Linked DNA regions of Oreochromis niloticus. The protein of the gene in region 1 interacts with the protein of each later gene in a pairwise test. Links are inferred from orthologs where the notes say so. Each region holds a gene or a part of one and is shown in the gene's direction. Other genes may lie near its edges. The genes, in order: garem and grap2b.

The links.
Region 2: the proteins of garem (region 1) and grap2b interact in binary tests that used the Homo sapiens proteins (3 or more experiments, as listed by UniProt). The link is inferred for Oreochromis niloticus from reciprocal best matches to the Homo sapiens genes GAREM1 and GRAP2.

What each region holds. Positions count from the first base shown.
Region 1 is NC_031974.2:25,537,273-25,548,539, forward strand, and holds the start of garem (GRB2-associated and regulator of MAPK protein 1), read left to right. Parts: upstream 1-5,099; 5' UTR 5,100-5,381; coding exon 5,382-5,502; intron 5,503-7,374; coding exon 7,375-7,515; intron 7,516-7,802; coding exon 7,803-7,933; intron 7,934-8,126; coding exon 8,127-9,317; intron 9,318-9,598; coding exon 9,599-9,753; intron 9,754-9,881; coding exon 9,882-10,743; 3' UTR 10,744-11,267. Other genes in the region: ncf2 (neutrophil cytosol factor 2), read right to left, coding at 19-110, 197-293, 477-588, 669-817, 907-950, 1,053-1,107, 1,284-1,349, 1,512-1,653 and 7 more.
Region 2 is NC_031971.2:8,430,407-8,441,673, forward strand, and holds the start of grap2b (GRB2-related adapter protein 2b), read left to right. Parts: upstream 1-5,414; 5' UTR 5,415-5,474; exon of another isoform or gene 5,475-5,522; intron 5,523-8,199; exon of another isoform or gene 8,200-8,263; 5' UTR 8,264-8,404; intron 8,405-8,447; exon of another isoform or gene 8,448-8,592; intron 8,593-8,601; exon of another isoform or gene 8,602-8,750; intron 8,751-8,878; 5' UTR 8,879-8,889; coding exon 8,890-8,967; intron 8,968-11,267. UniProt on the Homo sapiens protein: Interacts with SLP-76 to regulate NF-AT activation. Binds to tyrosine-phosphorylated shc.

The sequences.
Region 1 (11,267 bases):
AGTAAACCTGGCCATAAATCACTGGCTATTTGCAGGAACTTCTTCCACAAAGGATGCAGGGAATATACCAGTATTCCCGTTACACTGCCCTTCCAACCAGTCTTGGTTAACTGAAGATGAACAAATCGTGAATTAGAATCATATATTCCATCAAATTGTTTATGTATGTTTGACGTATAAAAGAATGAAGCCTCACTTTTAGAGAGCAGTTTGATTTTATCCCCTTGCTGAAAACTCAGATCTTCGGGATTTGACGACTCGTAGGAGTGAAGTGCCACCAGGTGAACCTCCTCCTGAAATCCGAAAACATCCACAATGGTTATCAGTGTAAACGGAAATTATAACAGGAGTGCAAAAACAAAAAGATACTAAAAGTACTTCAGTATCGCTAATACTGGGAATATTTTACTTACTACTTATTGCCGTTGTTACTGTAACAACAGCAATAACATGGCAATAGATGGTTGCTCTCTTACCTCCTTGGTGTTACACCACAAAGTGACACGCCCACTGCTGGCACGGCTCCACAGCTTCTCCATTTCTGTGTTGGCACTGATTACACTTTGTTCACTTGCCTCAGAGGTTAAACTAAACCCAGTAAAGGTATTCAGTTGTAAGTACAAACAATGCATACCAAACATTCTTGTTTTCTTAATGATGTGCTCTACCTCAAGGTGACTGCAGAAGAAGGAAGATTCAGTTTCCTGCTGATTTTCTCAATCAGCATTGTGTAGGGTGACCCAGACGGGACTGAGACGACAAAGTTGAAATTGAAATGCACTTTGACGATACATGAATTGTCTGTGGACTGTTTCTCCTGGAAATGATGAGAGGAAATAAAAGAACTTAAAATAACAGCCAGAATTAAACATCTCAGTACTTCTCATTTTCTTTGCTTTGGCATACCTGACGCTGACGATTTCCACTAGTGGCTTCTCTTGGCGTAAGACCTTACATAAAGAAAATGTGGAAAATTAGATTTTTCACATAAGGCTCAGATATCATTGGAAAATCCTCATTTAATTTTTGTATCCTGTACCAGAAAAGCCTACCTTGTATCCTTTCAGGTCTGGTGGGTGGCTCTCGGCTTGGAGGTGGAGTTATTCCCTGTTTATAGTTGTTCCCATTCAAAATAAAGAAAAGTAAAGTCTGTGTTATTTTAAAAACTTGGAAAGAATGAAAGGAAAGCTTGGAAAGGAAACTACAATGTTTTAAGCACTGACATTACCAGAGTAATTGATTATGACACCAACAATTGAGAATAATGAAAAATAAATGCTTACCTTGTTTTTGTTAGAAGCTAAGGAGATTTCCAAACGTTCCAGATAGTTGTAAGGAACAAGGCCCTTCTGTGAAAGACATCACAGCCATGTATACTCTCAGCAGACAACAGCAATGCATTAATTGTGTGATAAAAGTACCTGATATGAATACTGGCTTCAGTGCATAAAAACAACACAATGTACTGGTGTTAAAATTTGTACAATAAGTTTCAGATGTGGAGATCTTACTCTTTCATTGAAGACCACATATGCCCAGTTGTCAGCACCCTTCTGCAACACAAACACAATATTGCCCGGCACTACAGCCAGCTCATCACTGGTCTCAGGAATAAACTCAAAGAGCACAGTGTGCGGATCTCCTTCCAAAGCCCTGTAAACACAAGAAATGTCCACATGGCATCAAGAGTGAATCCTCCCCTAGTTTTGCTGCAATAGGTGTAGGCTGCTGGGGGATTCCCATGATGCATTGAGTATTTCTTCTTCTCCCTTACTATGTCTTAATATACCTCTCTGCACTGAATCATACTTATTATGAATCTCTGGCTCTCTTCCACAGCATGTCTTTTATCCTGTCTTCCTTCTCTCACCCCAACCCTCCCTGAGCCTGGTTCTGCCAGAAATTTCTACCTGTTAAAAGGGAGTTTTTCCTTCCCACTGTCACCAGAGTGCTTGCTCATAGGGGGTCATATGATTGTTGGGTTTTTCTCTGTATGTATTATTGTAGGGTCTACCTTACAATATAAAGTGCCTTGAGGTGACTGTTGTTGTGATTTAGCTCTGTATACATAAAACTGAACTGAACTGATGTGAAATTGAAGAGACATAAGACACAAAGGTTAAAGTTGGCACTATTCTGTGTAACGGTACATTTCTATTTTCAGGTTTTAATTATTAGATCTACACTTTGAGTCACATTTTCTCTTTGTGGAAAGCAAAGTTTCATAGATATGACTCATGCTTTCCCCCATTTTGTATTTGTACTAAACATGTATAGTAGAGAATCCACATATCAAAAAAACTTGCCAACTATAACATCATTAAATACTAAGATCATTTCTGTTTAAAGAGTTTCAAATCTGCATGGATCCAAAGTGACTATCATACCTCAGAACCACAGGCTCTTTTGGACAAGTTGGACCATCTTCCACCTATCAAATAAAAAAAACACAGTCCATCAGAGACATGGCAACACACTGGAATATGTAAAGTTTCAATCTAACAGTAATTCTTAACATTGTAAAGGATTGCAGTGCTGCTCTATAATGCAGCACAAGTTCATTTCCATTTTGTTGATGTGGATCACTGGAAGCTTTTAAAACAGGCACCAAGGTAGCATATTTTAATATAAAGTAACAGAAGATAAGAACGCACTGCTGTTTCTGTCATCAAACTGTAAAGTTTTTATTGTCAATAAAAGCCAGTGTGTCACCTGAGGCTGCAATGGGGCAAATCCAGAGAACTCATCTTGAGGAACAACAGAGGCAACGACCTGATGATAAGAGGGGGGGAAAGTAGCTTATAGATATCACTCAACAATAAACTTATTGGTTTCTCTGAGTAATTTCAAATGTGTAAGTTCTGTATGTGTGTACATATATATATATAAAATGAGTGACTGACATTTTACCTAACATAATAAAATGTTGTGATGCTGACTTTTGATAGCTTTATAATCACACTAGATTAGATAGAACAGGCTGTATAACAGATCACCTTTGCTTTGCCCAGGTAGTCTTTCTTCTCCAGCTCTGCAACATAGTGCTTATTTGGTTTGAACATCTCTTTTGATTGGAACTCGACCAGTTTGAAAAGTTTCTGTTTCTGTTGGTGAAATTTCATTGTGAGTGAAACTTAAAATATTTGCCGGTGGTTAATACAGCAGTCGTGCATATCAATATCCACCTGACTTAAAGCAAAATTAGAATAAAGCATATTAGCTTACCAAATATAGGTTAATGGAATGAAGAAAAACTACTACATTTGATATCATACATGTAATCACATTTAAATGGGTTCACAAAAGTGATTGTATCACAACTGACTAGGATTGACTGCAGAGCTTTGTCGATGATATTAAACCTGGCCTCTGTCTTGTAGTCAAGAGCCTTCATGAGGTACTCCTGGGCCTTTTCCCATCTACCCAACTGAGCTTCAACCAGGGCCATATTGTGGAGAACCTGTGGAGACATTGTTAAGCTTGTGTCCTTGGCCAGGAAAAAAAACGAATGCTAAGTTGTATTATGAATGAACAGCTCATAACATCAAATGAATTATTTGGATGTAGTGTTCAGGATTAATAATAGGGCGGGTTATCAAGAATACTCACATCACAAGCATATAGTATGTATCTGAGACCAAGCGCTTTGTAATCTATTAGCTGGTTGCCCCTGAGTGTTTTAAAGGTTTTCTGGAAGTCAGCTAAACTCTCCTCATACCTTTACATAGAGACATAGAGACAAAAGTTAAAACATTTGCATATGATATACTATGAAGCATTTTTAAATAACGTCATTAAACTTAAAAAATAATATGGTCCCTTTTTTTAAAAAAAAAAAAGGAAAAAGGCAGGTGTGTCTTGCCTCTTCTTTTTGTAAAAAGTGATTCCTCTTTGAAAGAAGGCGATGGCCAAATGTTCATCCTTGCGTATGCTGCAATCAAACGCCTGAGAAACAGAAAAAAACAGTCACTTCCTCTAGAAAACATGGTAAGATCTACTTCTCCTTTCTCAGTGACTTGCGCTTTCACACAGCATATCAGAGAATTTTATTTCAGCTACTTTCAAAAGAGTTTCTTGTTTGGACTAATGTGCTGATACGACAGCTGTTAATATTTGTGTGTTTATGCTTCAGCCTGCAGATCAGACATACCTTTTCAGCAGCATCGAAGTCTTGGTTAAGAAGATGGAGACAGCCAATGTCAAAAAAAATTTTGGAGTTTGGTTCTTGAATAGCCAAGAAAATCTCAAGTGCTTTGGAGAAATCTTGTCTGTTGACGCAAGTTACCGCCTCATCCCAGTGGCGCAGAGTGTCTACAAAAGACATGTTGGCAGGTTAGGAGTACACTGAGCTACAGACCACAGTAAGGAAGTTCCTCTGATTTGTACCACTGAGAAGAGGAAGTGTGATGAAAGTCATTGTTGGTGTATATATAAATATCACATTACCACCAGGTCTTAAAGCTAAAGGGTTGTCCCTTTTTTCCCAATGTGATGTTCTGTCATCTACATGACAATTCATTATTTGTGTGTGGTATTTAAATAAAGCTAATCTGATTTTGTTATACGTTCCCATCACCACATATGTCATGCGTGTGATGTTTAGCCATAGATTTCCAGGAATGTTGACGGACAGGGTGTAGGGAATGTGATTACACAAGAACAACTTAATGATGTGTCAGTAAACAAGGATAAGATAAGAAGAAAGACTGAAAGTAATAGGGTTTTTTATTTATTTGTTTATTTATTTATTTATTGAATCACGATTTACAGCAGGTAAAAACACTTCGAAACAGGCAGTCGGTATTCTTTTTTGTTGTCTTTTAGTTATCAGAAACAGTGCAAGTGCACAAACTACAACTTCCGGCTTAAAGTTTTTAAAAACGATAGTGACCTACTAGTACAAGCTTTGCACTCTAGCACAGCTTTATTAATTCACTTGTATTGTAAATGAAATCAGTTATATTGGTGGGGTTTTTTTCTGTTGTTTACCAAAGTATGTATTCCTTACCTTCAGAAGAAAACTATTCCAGCTTCCTTGCTGTGTGGTTGGTTCTCTACCGCCTGAGCCCACCTACGCTGACTGTCTCCACCAATCACAGCAGAGCGACTTGCGCGCTGCCTCCCTCCGGCTGATCCAAACTAGCACTGGCCCCATCGGTAGTTAAACAAACATGGGTCTGCTACATTATCAGACAACGACTCTTTATGATACGTAGGCAAATTTAAAGGAAAAAATGCGAAGATTATTAAGAAACATGCCATGCGTGATATGACACCGTGGACGGAGAGTCGCTATATTATTTAGTGCGTTAGCTTAGTGTAGCCTTTTGTGACCGTGTTTACACGTAGCTAGCTCTTGTTGGCTAATGTAAGCTAGCAAAATGGACCTTGGATCAATGTTGTACAACAATTTAAAAGAAGTTACATGGAGTACCACGTCCTTACCATTAGATCAACTTGTCAGTGCTTATAAGTTGCCTCAAATTGTCAAGCTGGATAACGGCAAGTAACTTTACTTTTTCACGCCATCAGGGCAGCGCTTGTTAGCTGCTAGCTAGCAGCAAAGGCAAACTTAAGCCTGAAACATAAATCTTTGCGATTGAGTTTAGCCGTGTGACTTACCGTTTCTCAACAGTGTGGTCTAGTTTACATTACAAAATAAGCGTTTTCTTATTCTCGTTTTTTGGTTTATTTTTGGTAATGCCTTTGCATCCGTTGTGCAGATCTCACCTTTTTTGGTATTAAACGTGCAAACCCTATAGTCATTTCTGTAATGAAGTTATTCTAAGTTATTTCAGGTTTTGTAAAAACTATATTGCAACGACTGATGAGTTGTACCACATACTGTCTAGCTCCACCATTGGAAAGCCACATTTTTTAATATACATGTATTGTTGCAGGCTGAGTCGCAATGCCAATCTTATAACTAAATCGTAACCTAGTTGCTCTGTTTAAGCTGAGAAGCATCATTGTCTTCATTCTGGTTACAAAAAAGACAAGTATTTATTTATTTGTTTTTAAGAATTAAGACATGATAATGTTATGGTGCTGTGCAAAAGTATTTAGCCACCACTCATTTCTTCATATTTTGCTTACAAATAGCCAGACTTTATTGCATTTTTTGAAGTGGTCTTGAGCAATAGTTCTCCAGGTTTTCTGAAGGTTTTTCAAAGTTTTTGTAGTTCCAGTATCTGACAGTTTTCTTCAAGGACAAAAAAAAGTACCTCATTTAAATGGAGCAGCCAGTCTTCTGTATACACTCTGATTCCCATTTATTTAGTTGAGTCCACTAAAAATACCAAATTAACCAAGAACTGGACTGAAAATCAGTAGCATCAGGTCTGATGGAGCAGTGAATGCAATTTAGAAATGTTTGGTTCAGAGCATTGTGAGTATGTACAGAGAAGGTCAGGAGTGACTAAAGCCACCTGTAAAATAGGGTGGAGGCTGCACTGCAGCAACTGGTGTAAAGAAATTACAAGAAAGCTGCTTTAGAGTTTAGGCTGTGTTAAAGAATAAAGGTGGTCAAATCAAATATTTACTTTCAATTTTGTTAGAGTTGTACAAACTCTGCATTTGCGTATAGCCTGTATTTCCATGTATGTTTTCACATGTTGCAGCCATTTCCCATTTTCCTATTAAAATAAAGAAATGAGTGGGGGCTCAAGAATTTTACACAGTACTGTTACTATACCTCTAACTAAACTATATGTTAATACAATCCTGGGTCTGAACTTGTATCTTAATCAGAATCAGAATACTTCAATAATTCTGATTCTGATACAGACCTGGGTCTGAAAGTGTATATTTAAAACTACTTTATCCTCAGTTATGCCTGAAAATAAACATGCTCACTGTGCCCTGCACTTTGAGATCATTAATAATTTGAATAATTTTCTCCATCTTCCTGACACATGCTTGGCCTTTTATGGAGAACTAAAGTGGTGTATTGTACTTTGAATGATAGAGCATGCTTTTTAGAGAGGTATGGATTAGGCCATTAGTCATTGACTAATGGCCTAATCCATAGTGACTTTAAATGTGCTTGGTAATCCAATGCCTCAGTTTGAATAGAGCAGACTGTATGGCTAAAGAGTGGTATGAAAACAGAAACGGTAAAAGCAGTGTTTCTCCAAGTGATATTTAATTGAATGGCCTGTTCTCTGTAGTTATTAAGGTTCAATAGTTCTCTCATGACCCACATCCAAGACACCACCTGGTGAAAACATAGATATGAACATTTTTTGTTTTAGATGTTTTGTTGCTGGATGGTTCAGTGCTTACTTGGCGATTAATTTAAAGTTGTAATTATGCAAATTATGCTGTTTTCTGCTCTGTAAATAGTGTTTTGTTTTGTTTTTTTACTACCTGTAGGTCAGCTGGTTGAAGGGCTCAGAGACAATGACTACCTCTTGATTCATTCCTGTCGTCAGTGGACGACTATTACTGCTCACAGTCTGGAGGAGGGACATTATGTCATTGGGCCCAAAATAGAGATCCCAGTTCACTATGAAGGTGAGATGCAGCCACAGTCGATGTTTATTTAGTTTGTCTTGTAAATGGTAAATGGACTAATTCTTTTCTACTCTATCCGAGCACTGAAAGCGCTTTACAGTATTTATATGATATCCATTATCAGATATTAAATATGATATTTGATGATGCATCTTTGCCTAAACTGAAGAATTATTCACTAAAATATATAAGTCAAAAATAAATTATGTAATTTTATAGTTGTAAGTCTGTGTTGATGCAAAACGCGTGCAAAACACCATTGACATGTCTTTTCCATCTTTTCGTAGGTCAGTTCAAGTTGCTCGAGCAGGACAGAGATGTCAAAGAGCCTGTGCAGTACTACAACAGCGTGGAGGAAGTGGCCAAAGCGTTCCCTGAAAGGGTATATGTCATGGAGGAAATCATGTTCAATGTTAAGGTACATTTAATCCATCTATTTTTATGTGAGGTTTATGAATAAGGATATATAGCTATAATTCTAAACGCTTCCACCAAGAGTATTTCATAACTTTAGATTTCCAGTTAAAGTTTAAAATTTTCCAAGTTAAGTTTGGTAAAGTAGATTCATTTCATTGCGTATATCGAAATTCATGTATGTAATGTTTTCATAGATGGCTTCAGGGGAATGCAATGAAGACACAGAGGTTTACAACATTACACTAAACACTGGTGATGAACTGACGTTAATGGGCCAAGCTGAGATCCTTTACGCCAAAAGCTTCAAAGAAAAATCAAGATTCAACACCATTTTTAAGAAGATTGGAAAGCTGAACTCCATCAGTAAGATCGGTCGAGGCAAGATGCCTTGCTTGATTTGCATGAACCATCGCACCAATGAGAGCATCAGCCTGCCGTTCCAGTGCAAAGGCAGGTTCAGCACCTGCAGTCCACTTGAGCTTCAGATGCAAGACGGCGAGCACAACATCAGGAACATTGTGGAGAAAACTCGTCTCCCTGTCAATGTGACAGTACCCAGCACTCCACCCCGCAACCAGTATGACCTCCACCTTATTAGGGAGGGTCATCGGTACAAATTGGTCAACATTCAGACGAAAACAGTGGTTGTGTGCTGCATTCTGCGAAGCAATAAAATTATCCCTATCCATTTTCCGTTTCATATAGCCATGCCACGATTTATTGTTCCGGAAGAATTGCTGCAAGGAGAGTTGTGGTTAGATACTATGGTGCATCGCTGGTTTGCGTTCTGCCAGGAACAGTTTGATATCGATGACTATTCTCGTGCTGTCCGGGACGTACGAACAGACTGGAATGAAGATGGCAAAAGCCCCAAAAAAAGCAGTGGAAATGGTAGTTGTAGCAGTGGAGGAAGCGGGAGTTCAAGCGGCTGTCCCAATCATATGCAAATTCCCAGCTCTTTGACTTACGCCCGAGATGAACTCACCCAGTCCTTCCACCGACTGTCTGTGTGCGTGTATGGCAGCAACCTGCACGGTAACAGTGAGGTCAACTTGCAGGGTTGTATGACACTATGCGGAGATTGGGCTCTTATGGCTTCTGACAGTCATCCTTCAGAAGAGAATGAACACTTTTTCCCAGAGCTGTTGGACTGCACAAACCCACAACCAACCCTCAACAAGCTGGATGTTCCCTATGAGGAGCTGTGGTTGGATCACTTGAGAAGTCAGATTCCAAAAGCCTCTCAAAGCGAAGGAATCAGAGGCCTCAACAGTGACTGTGCCACAACAGCTGCACTGACAAACCCAGTCACTTGTCCTCTGGGTGCCATAACCAGCTCTGATGTGCCTCTTACTCCTCCACCAGTCCCACCAAAGTCTGAAGCTGTAAGTATAATCTATTGCACTCAAGAGTTTTCAGTCCTAGGATTGGAGTGTTAGTTGATTTGATGGCAAATACACTGACAACAAGTGTATTTTAATACTACAGCAAAAGCCAGCATGAGTAGCTGCTATGCAGTAAATTAATAAATAAAACTACTTGAAAACAACAAGTTTGATTGGCTGTTGCAGATAAAAAGCTGAACCTAAGGGTTCTTTGAAGAATGACTGTAATGTAAGAACGTAAGCTTTAGTTACTGTTTCAACATAAACTCTTTTCATCCTAGGTGAAGGAAGAATGTCGTCTTTTGAATGCGCCACCAATCCCACCACGAGGCCTGAAACAGATACCATCAGTGCCTGTCCTTTTGAAGCCACGGCAGCAAGAAACTCGGTCTCCAAGTCCAACCCTCTCCTATTATTCTTCTGGTCTCCACAACATGTAAGAATTTAAATTGTCACCCACATTCTCACAACAAATGCTGTGAGATATCAAGTTTTGTACCTTTCTATGTATACATGTATGAGGCTATTCTTATGCTATAAATTAATCTACTATTTTTCCATTAGCAGTGGAACATGTGAGCAAGAAGGAACTGACCCACAAGAGCAAAGCCACGTGTGCTACCCTTGCAGCTGGGCTAATTCCAGCAGCACTGAACCGAAGGCTGCTTCGCCCAGTGGTAGCTTGCCGTCAGATGGAGTTTCATCGCGGTTGTCTTGGCCAAATCATTTCAGTGGAGGGGATTCACATTGCATGGACGAGTTTCTGCCTACAACCTGTCGAAGTTACTACAGTTACCCCAGAAAGAGAACCCCAAGCACTCCAAAAACCTGTACAACCAGCCTTGTTGACTTTGATGGCCGAGAGTATGCACACCGCAGTAAGGACTTTGACTTGCCGAAAGCATCTCTGAGTCCTTTCTGCAACAAATCTTCAAGCTGCAATTCAGAAATGTACAGCGACAAGCTAATAGATGCATCTAACACCAAGCAGAGCCTCTCCTGCCCTATCCTGCCACCAAGAACACCAAAATCAAATGCCATAAAGAAGTGCACAGATGTACTGTCAGAGTCAGCCTGTGACAGTAAGCCGGAAACTTTATATTCCTCACTTGCTCAACATGAGCAGGGAACAAAAGAGATACACTCCATCTCTAACACTCCAACTGTTAACTCTCCATCCTTGTCTCACACTACACAGTGGCAGCCACCACCGAGCTTGGCTGGCCTTTCAATTGAAGAGGTCTCCAAATGTCTGAAATTTATTGGCCTGCCAGATGACATTGTTTCTCTTTTCGTGTCAGAAAAGATTGATGGGAATCTACTCCTGCAGCTCACCGAGGAGATTTTGTCTGAAGACTTCAAGCTAAGCAAACTGCAGGTGAAGAAACTCATGCAGTTCATAAATGGGTGGAGACCCAAGATATAACAGTATGTAACTTAAAAACTCCTGTAAAGCTGAGAACATCCTGCCTTCAGTTTGTATGCTATGCACATCAAGCCACAAAGAGTTTCTTTTTGTATAGTATGAACTTATTTCCTTGTTACTACATGGTGGGGAAGACAAGTGGGTAATACCCACTTAAAGTCTATGGCTCCTATTTGCTAACTGAATGGAATCATTTGGCACTTTCACAAAGACATTTACATGTCAATTGCTTACTTTTTCACCCACGACCTATTCATGTCACTACACAGATACTAATTTAAGCCAGGGAATTGAAAGAAATCCACATAATCGTTTTAATGTGAGAGCTATATGAAGACAATGTTGTCTTTTGTTAAAGGAGAGTGTCACAGAATTTTGCTGCGATTAGCTGGATGTTTAAAAGAGCACGAACTAGAAAATATTTTATATATATATCTATATATATAGATATATATATATATACACACATATTAGTACAGCCGACTGCCAATAATATTAGGAGTAATTACAGAAAACCCAAATCT
Region 2 (11,267 bases), on another chromosome or scaffold:
TGTAAGAAGGAATTTTGTTGTGCTGAGACTCATTGATGGCCGCGATGTTTTTAAATCCTGGTGGGACTCTTTTTGTTTTCAGGGTTTTTTTTAGATTTCCAAGAAAACTGCTCATCAAAGCACTCAAAATCTTCCCTTTCTTCCTCACTCTCTTCCCTCCTCCTCGCACTTGGACACACATGGGGGAGAAGCCGAGTAGAGTTAAGCGAGGTAAACTGAATGAAATGTGATGTGTGCTCACAGAATATTTATCATACATCTCCGTCTCTCTGTCAAATACATTTATCTCTTCCTCTTCTAGGTGCGCTCACTCAGTCACCCTCCAGATTCTGAAGTACCTCAACACCTAAAAGATGCGACTGTCACCAAGCACGAATGCACACAGACACACACACACAGTCACGGACATCATGCAGAGTTAACAGGCCCATTAATGCTGAATGGCAGCTCTGCATTGAGCCATGTACAAGTCCTTTCCATCTTTGAAAACAGAGCTTTATGAGCTCTGTCATGAAACTAGATGGGATATTTCATGGCCCAGGCCATTAAATGCAGTCAACAGTGTGTCGCACACACAAACAAATACGTACACATGCAGGCACACACACACCCACACAAACACAATGCCTTATTACACCTGTACCCCCTTTGTTTTTCTTGATCCTGCATAATAAGCTGCAAAACAACAGATCCATGTACAGCTGCAGGTCACCTTGGAAACAGCTACCAAATGATTCTTTTAGCATTATAAAAATAAATAAATAAAAAATCATGCACATAAGCATCTGCAAGGTTGCATGGAGTCCATTTATCGGCCCCCTCATGGTAGGAATGCCGATTGTTTAGGCGCTGCTTCTTTTTTTTTCAGTTTTTTAAAATCACATTTTCTTTCAGCCTAGACGCAGGATGAAATGCCCGGCTAACACCACATGGGGATCTGAGCATCCATGGCAGGCCAACCACTGAGACCGACTGTGAATATCAGAGTGAGAGACAGAGACAGGAAAACCAACAGTGTGTTGGTGGTGGCAGAATCTGCTTGCTTTGGCCCCAGCTGCATTTCCATATGTACTCTACTTCAGCACTTCCTTTCTGTTAGGCTATCTGTACCGTCTGCCCTTTCTTTGTAGCATACCAAGTGCTTTTAGCTACAAGTCACACTATACACTCACACAGTGCTGCAACCACTTTATCTACCTCACATCCATGGCCAATTTACAATCACCAATTAACCTAAAATGGACATCTCTGGACAGTGAGGAAGCCAGAGTACCCAGAGGAAACAAATGTAGGCTGAGGAGAACGTGCAAAATCCAACGGAAAGGCCTCAGCTGGGATTTGAACCAGGAGTCTTCTTGCTATGAGGCAATTGTGCTAACCATGCATACTGTGCACTCATTTTTGCATCAAGTCACCATTTCTCAGGGCACCCTGTGACCTCTGTATGACCTCTGCTTCTTATGCGGACCATATATTGATCTCTTTGTTTCACTCTTTCAGTGTTTGGAGATTTGACCCTTTAAAGGGCAGAAGGCACCTGTCTCTGCAGGAGCCTGGGCTAATGTGTTGACATCACAAACCGTTCTCGTGATATTGTTAAGAATTCCCTTGAACTCTGTCACCACTTTTGGATTGAACAGTTTCACAGTTTTAGTTTCAGGTTCGTTTTAATCAATAGTTTCTATTGATTTGACCCACACTAGTGGCTCAAAAACACCTGAATGGATAAATAAGCCATTTATTCAGGCTAATGTAAAAAAAAAACAGCCAGAGGTTGTAAAAGTAGAAATCACCTGTACAAGACTATTTATGTTTAAATGTATCCATTTTGGTGTATTTTTGGTCACTTCAAGCTAAAAAAAAAAAGAAGAAGAAAAGCTTTAAAATTGGCAGCACGGTGGTTAGCACTGTTACCTCGCAGCAAGAAGGCCCTGACTTCACTTCCATCACCAGGCTGGAGATTTTTCTGTGTGGAGTTTGCATGTTCTTTCCAGGTACTCTGGCTTCCTCCAGCATTGGAAAGACAAGGAGTTAGTAGGAATAGGTTAACTGGAAACTCTAAATTGCCCGTGGGCGTGAATGGTTGTCTGTGTCTATGTGTTAGCCCTGTGACAGACTGGCGAACTGTCCAGGGTGTCCCCTGCCTCTCACCGTGAAACAGCTGAGATTGGCTCAGCTCACATATACCTGGAACAATCAGCACAAAAAACAGTACAGATGTGGTTCCCATTTGAAGCATTCTGATGACTTTTAGTGCAAAGTTCTTTTCTTTTCCCCAGCTTTTCCAATGAGTGCATTTCAGAGCTCCTAGCAGCAGCATGAACTGATTTGGTAGCATCAGTCCTTTTTATTCTCTGATTCTTTGGCTCTGTCTTGTAGTTATTTGACATTTTATTGTCATTTCTATCAGACAACACGGTGGTGCCCTTTAAAAGGACAGAGACAAATCACTGCATCCATCAGTGCAGCGATTTCATGCCACTTGAGTTTGGCATCTTTGCTCTCACCAGCCGATCCAAGCGAATCAAAAGGTGGCCAGATAGCATCACAAGAGATATAATAGCAGCAGAACAGTGAGTGCCCCAGTGCTAAAGCACAGATTTTGTGCTACAAGCATGCAAATGAAAAAGCTCAGCAATCAGGGTGAATTGTATCCATATCTGTGACATCATACACCTGAAAACTATTCAGAATTTAACCTAATCTGTGCCTAAGAAAGATACTGACATGTCACTGGCTTGTTATTTATTGACACAAATTTTCTCCTCCTACCTGATCCTACTCTCCTCTCATTCTTCCGTATATGCAGTTATAAATAAATAACACAATATATTTTAGATAAATTATTTGGCTTGAAGTGAAAATCGGTAAATTGGGAGGCCTCTCTTGCCAACAAATTGAATATTTTCTCATATTCTTATTACCTAAAATCAAATGAAACCCAAATAAGCACAAAAATGATCTGGTTCATGATCTGCAGTGTCACTTTGTGTTTCTCTGAGTTTGTGTCTATAATGGTCTTTACTGACTTGAAAAACATCTCAACCTTTTTTCCCTGAAGTCTGCTGCCACCATGTGGCAAACACAGAGCAACACTCAGTCTTTACATTTTGCAAACACATCCACTTCAGATGTCGAACAAGACCAAGTACAAAATTCCTATTTTGCCATAGTATGGTCATCTCAGGCACACAGTCCTGGCTTAAAGGAAGGGTGATTTTAAAGAAAAGGAGAGGATAAACTAATTGGCTTTACCAAAGCCCACCATTTGGTAAAAGAGTTATTTGAAACTATGAATCATGCAAAGCTTCTATAGTTGGTTCTTGTGACTGACTGGTAGATTCTTAGCAAAATATCTAATTTTTTCGACAGCAGGACTTACGGCTTCACATTTTCAACATATGTCCCCACTTCAGGAAGCAGAGGGAAGAGTGAGGCAGAAAGGATTTTCCCAAAATTGAAAATTGTGGAAGTGGAGGCAGACAGAGCGGTCAGCAGATGAGGTGGAGGAAGGACTGATTTAAGAACAAGGCGCTGGAAGCTCAGAGGAAGACATACCAGCTTCTGAGGAGCCATGGACAATGTGATGGCACCCACCATCACATTGCATAATGGATGGAAAAATAGGAAAAACAATGTAATTTAGGCCTCTGAAGTTTTGCATAAGGAAAAAAATGTCAGAGCACACAAACCAGAGCATGGTGCTCATCCCTGATGGCAGCACTAAAAATGAAAACATTCTGGAGCATATATGTTCACACCATGACTCAGATAACCAAGATATCCCAGTTATACCCAAATCATTCTTCAAGATTAGGTAGCCCATTAAGGTAACAAATGGTCATGATGTCCCTAATAAGCTAGAAAGAATAAAGCCTCCTGTCAGCTATGTAAAGAGTGGTCATTGTTTGCAGACACAAATAAAATGCAGGGGACAAAGGCGAACATTTGATGCAGGAATGATGAAAGGAAAATACAGTCTAATGATAGAAAGCAAAAGACCAGGACCCACAAGGAATAATTCCACCAAGAGGGGAAACACTAGGAACACACAGCAAAACGATGACTCAAAGGACAAGGGGACATGAAGGCAGTAAATATAAATGATAATAAGGCCAGGGATAACAAGACAAGGGAATATAAAGCACAGGTGACAAAACACTACCAACGTAAAACAGGAAGTGACTAAACAGAGATGACAAATTCAAACATACAAACCTGACACGGCGGGGCACAGGGGGAAACTAGGACAAACAACAACAGACTGTACAAACATGCCAAACAAGAATAAACAATGAACATTAAAGAATAATAAAGGATCTTCAATTATTGCACTTGTCACTCAGTTATTCCTCAGAGCTCACGTCTCCTGCCAAGTTCATTTTTATAGCATTGTCACCTGGGAAACAAAATTATTTCACATGTAAATAAAGTTAAACACATGCATGCTGTTTGTGAGAGCATCGGCTGCACCACAGCAGAAGCTCCAGCTGTGGGAAAAAGTTCAAACCGCAGTTCACCTGCTGGAGAAATGTTTAATAGGTCATCGTTACATCAGTGGAAAAGTTCACAGAAGCTAAACTTCCCCTGTTGAGTTTGAAGCTGAGGTGGACTGATGAAATGTCAGTGCCTCTGTGGCTTTCTTTGATATACTAATATTGTTGATACAGTTCGATGTGCTACGGCAAAGTCTGCAATTAGTGATGTTTTTTCTTCTCTGATTGGTTAAGCATTTGATTTTCTTCTGCAAATCCCCGTCCTTTCCATTTGCAGCTTTGCCAGATTGAAGTCAATGCTTTCATCTCTTTGTAGTGTTTCTCTGTGAGGACTGTGTATTTAGCAAATAGCTCTTGGCCAACAATCAACCACAATAATAAAAGCACCGGCAGATGAAGTGAATATTTCTGATCATCTTTTGAAGGACATAGTTCTGCGGGGAAACCCTAACATTCATGTGGATGTTAGTTTAACAAGCACTGCCTACCTCAGCAATGCAGCCAAACAGCACACCTTCACGGGCATTCCCCAGTCACAGGAGAATGCACCCTACCAGGAAAACAAAAGTTAAAATCCAAGGATGTCCATTCATCTATCCAGCCTAACCACTGTATACTCTGTATATCTTCTAATTTGCATTCTAAGATATTAACAACTTTTAGATCATGCTGTCAGGGGGCTGTCCAGTCTGTCATGTGTTTCGTGTGTGTGTCCACGTTGTCAAGCTTGTGTGTCATGTCTACGTTCCATTATGTTTCCTGTTATATTTTGAAAGTCTTGTGTTCCCATGGTCAGTGTGTTTAGTTTTGCTTCCCTTGTGGTGTCATGTTCATTTGTGTCAGCTGTGTTTCCCCAGGTGTTTCCACTCCCCTCATTATCCTTCTCATTATATCATATCTTTATCATTATCCTTATGTGTATTTTAGTCCTCTGTCTTCCTCCGTTCAGAGTTGGTCTGTCTGTTTACCTTGTGTCAGGTCGGGCCTCAGAGTTTTTCACGCAACTGTTCTTCACATTCATGTCTTGTATGTACCTGTTCAGTTCCATGTTCATGTCTCTCGTCATTGTTTTCATAGTTAGTTTAGTTATTTCACACTTTAGGTCTTCTTGTCCCTTTGTTTTGCAGTCAGCCTAATAAAGGCTCGCTTTTTGTTTAAACCTCTGTTCTTCTCTCACATATCTGCATTTGGGTCCACACCGCAAACACACCGGCCCACCGAGCTGTAACACATACTAATATTAAGCATGTTGGGGTTTTGTTATTTGGGTTACATGTGCTGGAAGACTGAGTCAACTGAGTACCAGAGTTTCTTCTCAATCAAATACAATTCAAAAATGCATTAAAGAGCTCTGTCTGTTAAAAAGCATTTTTAAAGCAAACTATTCTGCATGCTAGGTGAAAAAAATGTGACAATTAATGTGACAGAAAAACCATTTTAATGTGACGGGGTACTAATGGGGGAATTTACCACTTAGACAGTCTGACCATTAGGGATTTTACAGGCTGAGGAAAAAAGGGGAAAAATACATAGTTTCAAGATAATGCCAAAATACGCTTGATCAGAAATTCCATACAAACACCACAAACTAAAGCACTTCCTCTGAGGTGAGTAAAGACCTTGAATGAGGCTTACTAGGGCAACAGGGACCATAGAAAGGGGATTTGGCACATGCACACAACACAAACTAAAACTGAGCACCAAAGTGTCGCATAATAAAGGTCAAGCTATTACTGGTCAACAACAGCCAGTCCTGTTCAGCGAAGAGGAAAAATAAAAAGGTGTAAAATTACTGTCAGCTGGATTTAGTTAATGGCAGCTTGGCTTAATATTCATGACAATCAGCTATCATGATGAAAGCAACAAAAACACTTGAACTTCAACCAATTTACAAGCTTGTTGGGGCCCTAACAAAACATCTGCAGGGGGCCTCCAACCAGCATTGGTTGGTCCAACCATTGTTTATTGTAGAGGCTAAGTCTACGCTTGAAGTCATTGAGGTGTTCAGTGAGCAGGTTTGGCGTGATGCCACTGTTATGAATGAAAACCTGCAGTACTGATAAAATCCAATAACTCCAGCGTTGCTTATCCTGTCAGCTTAAGCATGTATTGCTCAACATTGATTGCCTTTGCCATTCCACAGTTCATCTTAATATTCAACATAAATCACAACAGCACAGCGGTCACAAGCTGTTTGGTCCCTCCAAACAACAACACCCTAATTAAATCTTCCTACTTTTAATAAGATAAGATAAGATAAGATAACCTTTATTAGTCCCACACGTGGGAAATTTGTTTTGTCACAGCAGGGAGTGGACAGTGCAAAAGTTATGAAGCAAAAATTAGAATAAAATAAAATAAGAATAAATACAGTACACAACTGTACAGAATAGAATAAAATAAAATACTATATACAGTAGAATAAAATAGAATAAAATATACAATAAGATAAAAATAGAATACAAATGCTTTATACAACTGAGTAAAAAATACAACGATGCCAGGAAGATTATTGCACTTAGTGTTATTGCACATGTGTGTGTTTGATCAGTTAAAGTCTTTGTTGTGGAGTCTGACAGCAGTGGGGAGGAAAGACCTGCGAAATCTCTCCGTCCCGCACCGTGGGTGCCGCAGTCTCCCACTGAAGGAGCTGCTCAGTGCTGTCACAGTCTCATGCATGGGGTGGGAGATGTTGTCCAACAGGGATGACAGCTTAGCCGCCATTCTCCTGTCACTCACCACCTGTCATTTACAAACACAACAAGTAACACATAGCGACACACATAAGGTAATAAACAGAACATGTATAAAACACACATATACAAACATATTATAAATAGAGTTGTTTTTTTTTTGTTTTTTTTCTTTAATATTTAGTTTGGGTTTCCAAGTACAGCAATAAAGCTGCCTTCTTAAGTTAATTCCCTAGTCTCCTCTAAAAGTGCCACTAACCCATCCTCTCCTATCTGGCAGTCCTCAGGTGCTCCACTGCTTGATCCCTGTCTTGCAAACACGTATCCAAGCTATACTAAGCTACTTGCCTGCCTTGTCTGGTGGAAAACCTCTGACACAAGAAACACAGAGAATGCACAAAATAAACTTGGCACATAATGACAAGCTGTGGGAAGGGAGGGTTTTTGTAGATCCAAGAAGCAGTTTATTACTGTGGCCAGCAGCAATGGCCACATTAAAAAAAATCAAAGCTGGTATTGTGCAAATTTCAAGTATAACCAAACAAAACTAACTCTGTATAATGAAGCAACCTGTGAAACCAGAGGGAGAAAAGAGTGACAAAGCAACACTAGCCAAAGAAAGACAAAATACACATGAAATACTTCAGTTTGCCAGAGAGCACAAAAGTATTTCAGGTGAAAGACAAATGTGCTTAAAATGTCTTGGGTGCAACCACAAGCCAGTCATAGTATGTCGGTAAACACACGTGTAACAACACCTCAGGCAGTTGTGACAGACAGAGACTTAAAAAACCTTTATCACAGCTTTGTTTTTCTTTGATTTGTTTGGTAAATAGACTTTAGTCAACATGATTTACAGTTACATATAAAATAATGACCTAAACATTTTACCTATATTATAATAAATCCAGTCGATTTTGACTGTTTGCAATAACTTTATAGAACTATAATATTTTCTTCTGCTGCGTTTTTTTTTTTTTGTTTGTTTTCCCTGATCTCTTTGCCAACAGATAAACAGATGCATAGAAAGGCTCCTATCTGTTTCTATGCATCTCTGCACTGTGTCTATTTCAGTGCATGTGAGTGTATGCTGGCCAGAGGTGACGGTGTTTCCTGTGAACTGACAAGGAGTTCGTCACCTCTCTTTGTAAATTTCTCACTTCTCTTCGTAAGCCGCATGAACGCAGCTCTGTCTGGAGAACAGTACAAAGGGGGGTGAGTAAACCTAACATTTTTGCCTCTTTGATGAGGTACTTGGCAAGTCGTCATTTTGAGTTATGGCTAGCTGCCCTCCTGTTTTCCGAGCAGCCGCATTGCTCCTGGTTCTCTGAAGACACAATGCGCAGCCCTTCAAATAAAACTGTTTTGTGTGTGTGTGTGTGTGTGTGTGGACAAAATTCAAGGTGAGAAAATATGCTTTACGGGCGCTTAAAGGATTTTGTTGTAGAGGTGCTAACACAGGTTGTAGTCGTAAAGGATGCACGGAAAGGACGTAGCGACTGTCCTTGATTGAGTGGGGAATTATTCCGTCCATTAAGATACTAGAAGAGCACCAACTGATGTCAGTGCCATGTTTCTTTTGATGGGTGACTTACACACGTCTGTTTTCCCGGCTCATTAATCACTTCAGTATTTTTATCTGAGCACACAGGAGTACTTCTAACCTTTTGTTTCTTCATCCCTTCTTAGGTTTGTCTACGATGGAAGCTACGGCCAAGTTTGACTTTGAAGCTAATGCGGAGGATGACCTGAGCTTCAAAAGAGGAGACTGCTTGAAAGTAAGGATCACACACAGACATGCAAACACTTCCTTGGTTTGCTTTTAGCAACAGCACTCTTCACACAAGTTATAAAAAGTTGTCAGCATGCAAAAACATTCAAATGTCAGGTTTTATATATATATATTGCATATAATCCAGAGTATTTCCATGTATATTAGTGCTTTATCACACTTGTACAACAATGGTGCACTGTACTATTCTCTGAAGCCCTCTTCAGTTCTCTGTGCAGCCAACCACGACTGCATCCTGCTGCTTAAGTCCGAGTTTCCTTCCTGTTTACGTTGCCATTGCAACAAAATCTTTATATCTTCTTGACAGAATCAAAAAGTAAAATCATATAGCAGAGGTGAACGCACAAATAACATCAAACTACCAGACAAACAGATACAATAATTCTTGACTCACCTTTCACACATTGCTTTTGTTAGCTAAGCACCTTGCTGAAGCATTAGTTCAAGTATATACAGCTGCAACCTTAATCTAGGTGCTTTATTGTTATGATATGTTTCAAACCATGTGAACAATGGAAAAACATGTTCCGGTGTAAACCTCTCAGAAAAGCTGTTAAAAGTGAGGTCTCCTGTAAAAAGGTGTTGGCTTTTGTAACCCGCTGCAGGCCGAGCCAGTTTTATTTCTGCACTGCAGCATGTAGCGCAGGTACATCCACTGCACCCGGCATTAAAACACTTCCATCGGTGTATTGGTGTATAGCATGTGGACATACACAAAAGGTATACAAGGAAATGGATCAGCAAATAACTTTACAAACACCCACAGCTATCTCACACAGTCAAACCACAAACACACACACGACTAATCATAACTGAGTGAAAAAATATTCTCAGTTTCCACAGTCTAGGTCATCTGGTACTTTGGCCTAGTAAATGGCTTAAAAGGACCCATCTATATCTATATGTTTATATCTATATCTCTAGATATAGATATAGATATAAAAACTACTACACAGCTTACTGGAACACTTGAACATCACAGTAAAACACAAAGTCTCTACATAATCATGCATCTTCAGGGAAACTTAAAACACTGTTAGTACAAGCGACAGTGACAACCAATACACTTGGAGAAGTAACAAGAGAACCCCAAAGAAAATGGTTTTGCAGGCGATTTCTCCGTAGCTCCCCTGAATTTTCCTTGAGTTTTGCTTTTTTATTAGTTTCCTTGTCACTGCTGGTAGCACCAGACAATACCTGCAGCCCATTCAGGTTGTACATGTAGTCTGACTCGTACAGGAGGGAAGTGTTGCTGTGTCTTCCAGCACAGTCTCAGGAGTGTAGGAGGAGATACAAGGAGACAGGCTGTTACACGGGGACAGTGTTGGTCAAGTTACTTGACAAAAGTAATTAGTTACTAATTACTGATTACTTGTCCAAGAAAGTAATCCTGTTACTTTAATGATTACTTATTTCCCAAAGTAATTAGTTACTTTATTACTGAGTTACTTTTTAAAAACATGACACCTCAATATGTAATAAAGTAATAGATCTTTCAGCCCAATTCTATTTTTTCTGCATAATCCATCATATAAAATTGAATCAAATGAATGCAACAGTCTTTGACTTGAAGAAATTAATTTAAAATTTAAACCTATTTTCTGCATATTCCAGCATATAAGATAAAATAATTTGTTGTGTTTACACTCACTCTTTCAAATATATGCAAGTAAAACACAAAAATGAATAAAATCAAAGATTCAGCGACAATAAGTCCTGTTGCTCTTAAATCTATTTTCACCTGTTTAGCAGGAGTGGGGCGGGTGGACGTTTGCCTGATGCTGCAGCTGTTGTGTCAGTGGGGGGATCCAGGGGTTTCTCTGTGAGTTTCACACACCCGTGGCAGCGTGCTAGGTGCTTGCTCAGATTTGAAGTTAAATTTTTTTGCTGTAGAAAGTTTTCTACAGTTTTTTTCCCACGCAGAGTGAACAGCGGACGCTAATGTTTTTGTCACTTTTTACAGAATCAAACTCAAAGTAATGTCAGTGCTTCCACGCTTTAATGCTGCATGGTCGTACTCTCTCCCGGCGTTCCATCATCCATCGCTGATCTGCACACATCTGTTGCTGCCATGGATGTTGCACACTCGTACATCAATTGTCACAAGACACTCTCACAAACAAAATCACGATTTAGTAATGAAATAGTAATCCCTTACTTTACTTGTTACTTGAAAAAAGTAATTGGATTACAGTAACCCGTTACTGCTGTAGCTTGAGTGCCTGTGTTGTTATTTTCAGTTGTATTCCAAAATCTGCATTATGTATTGTCAGAGTTTAGTTGGCA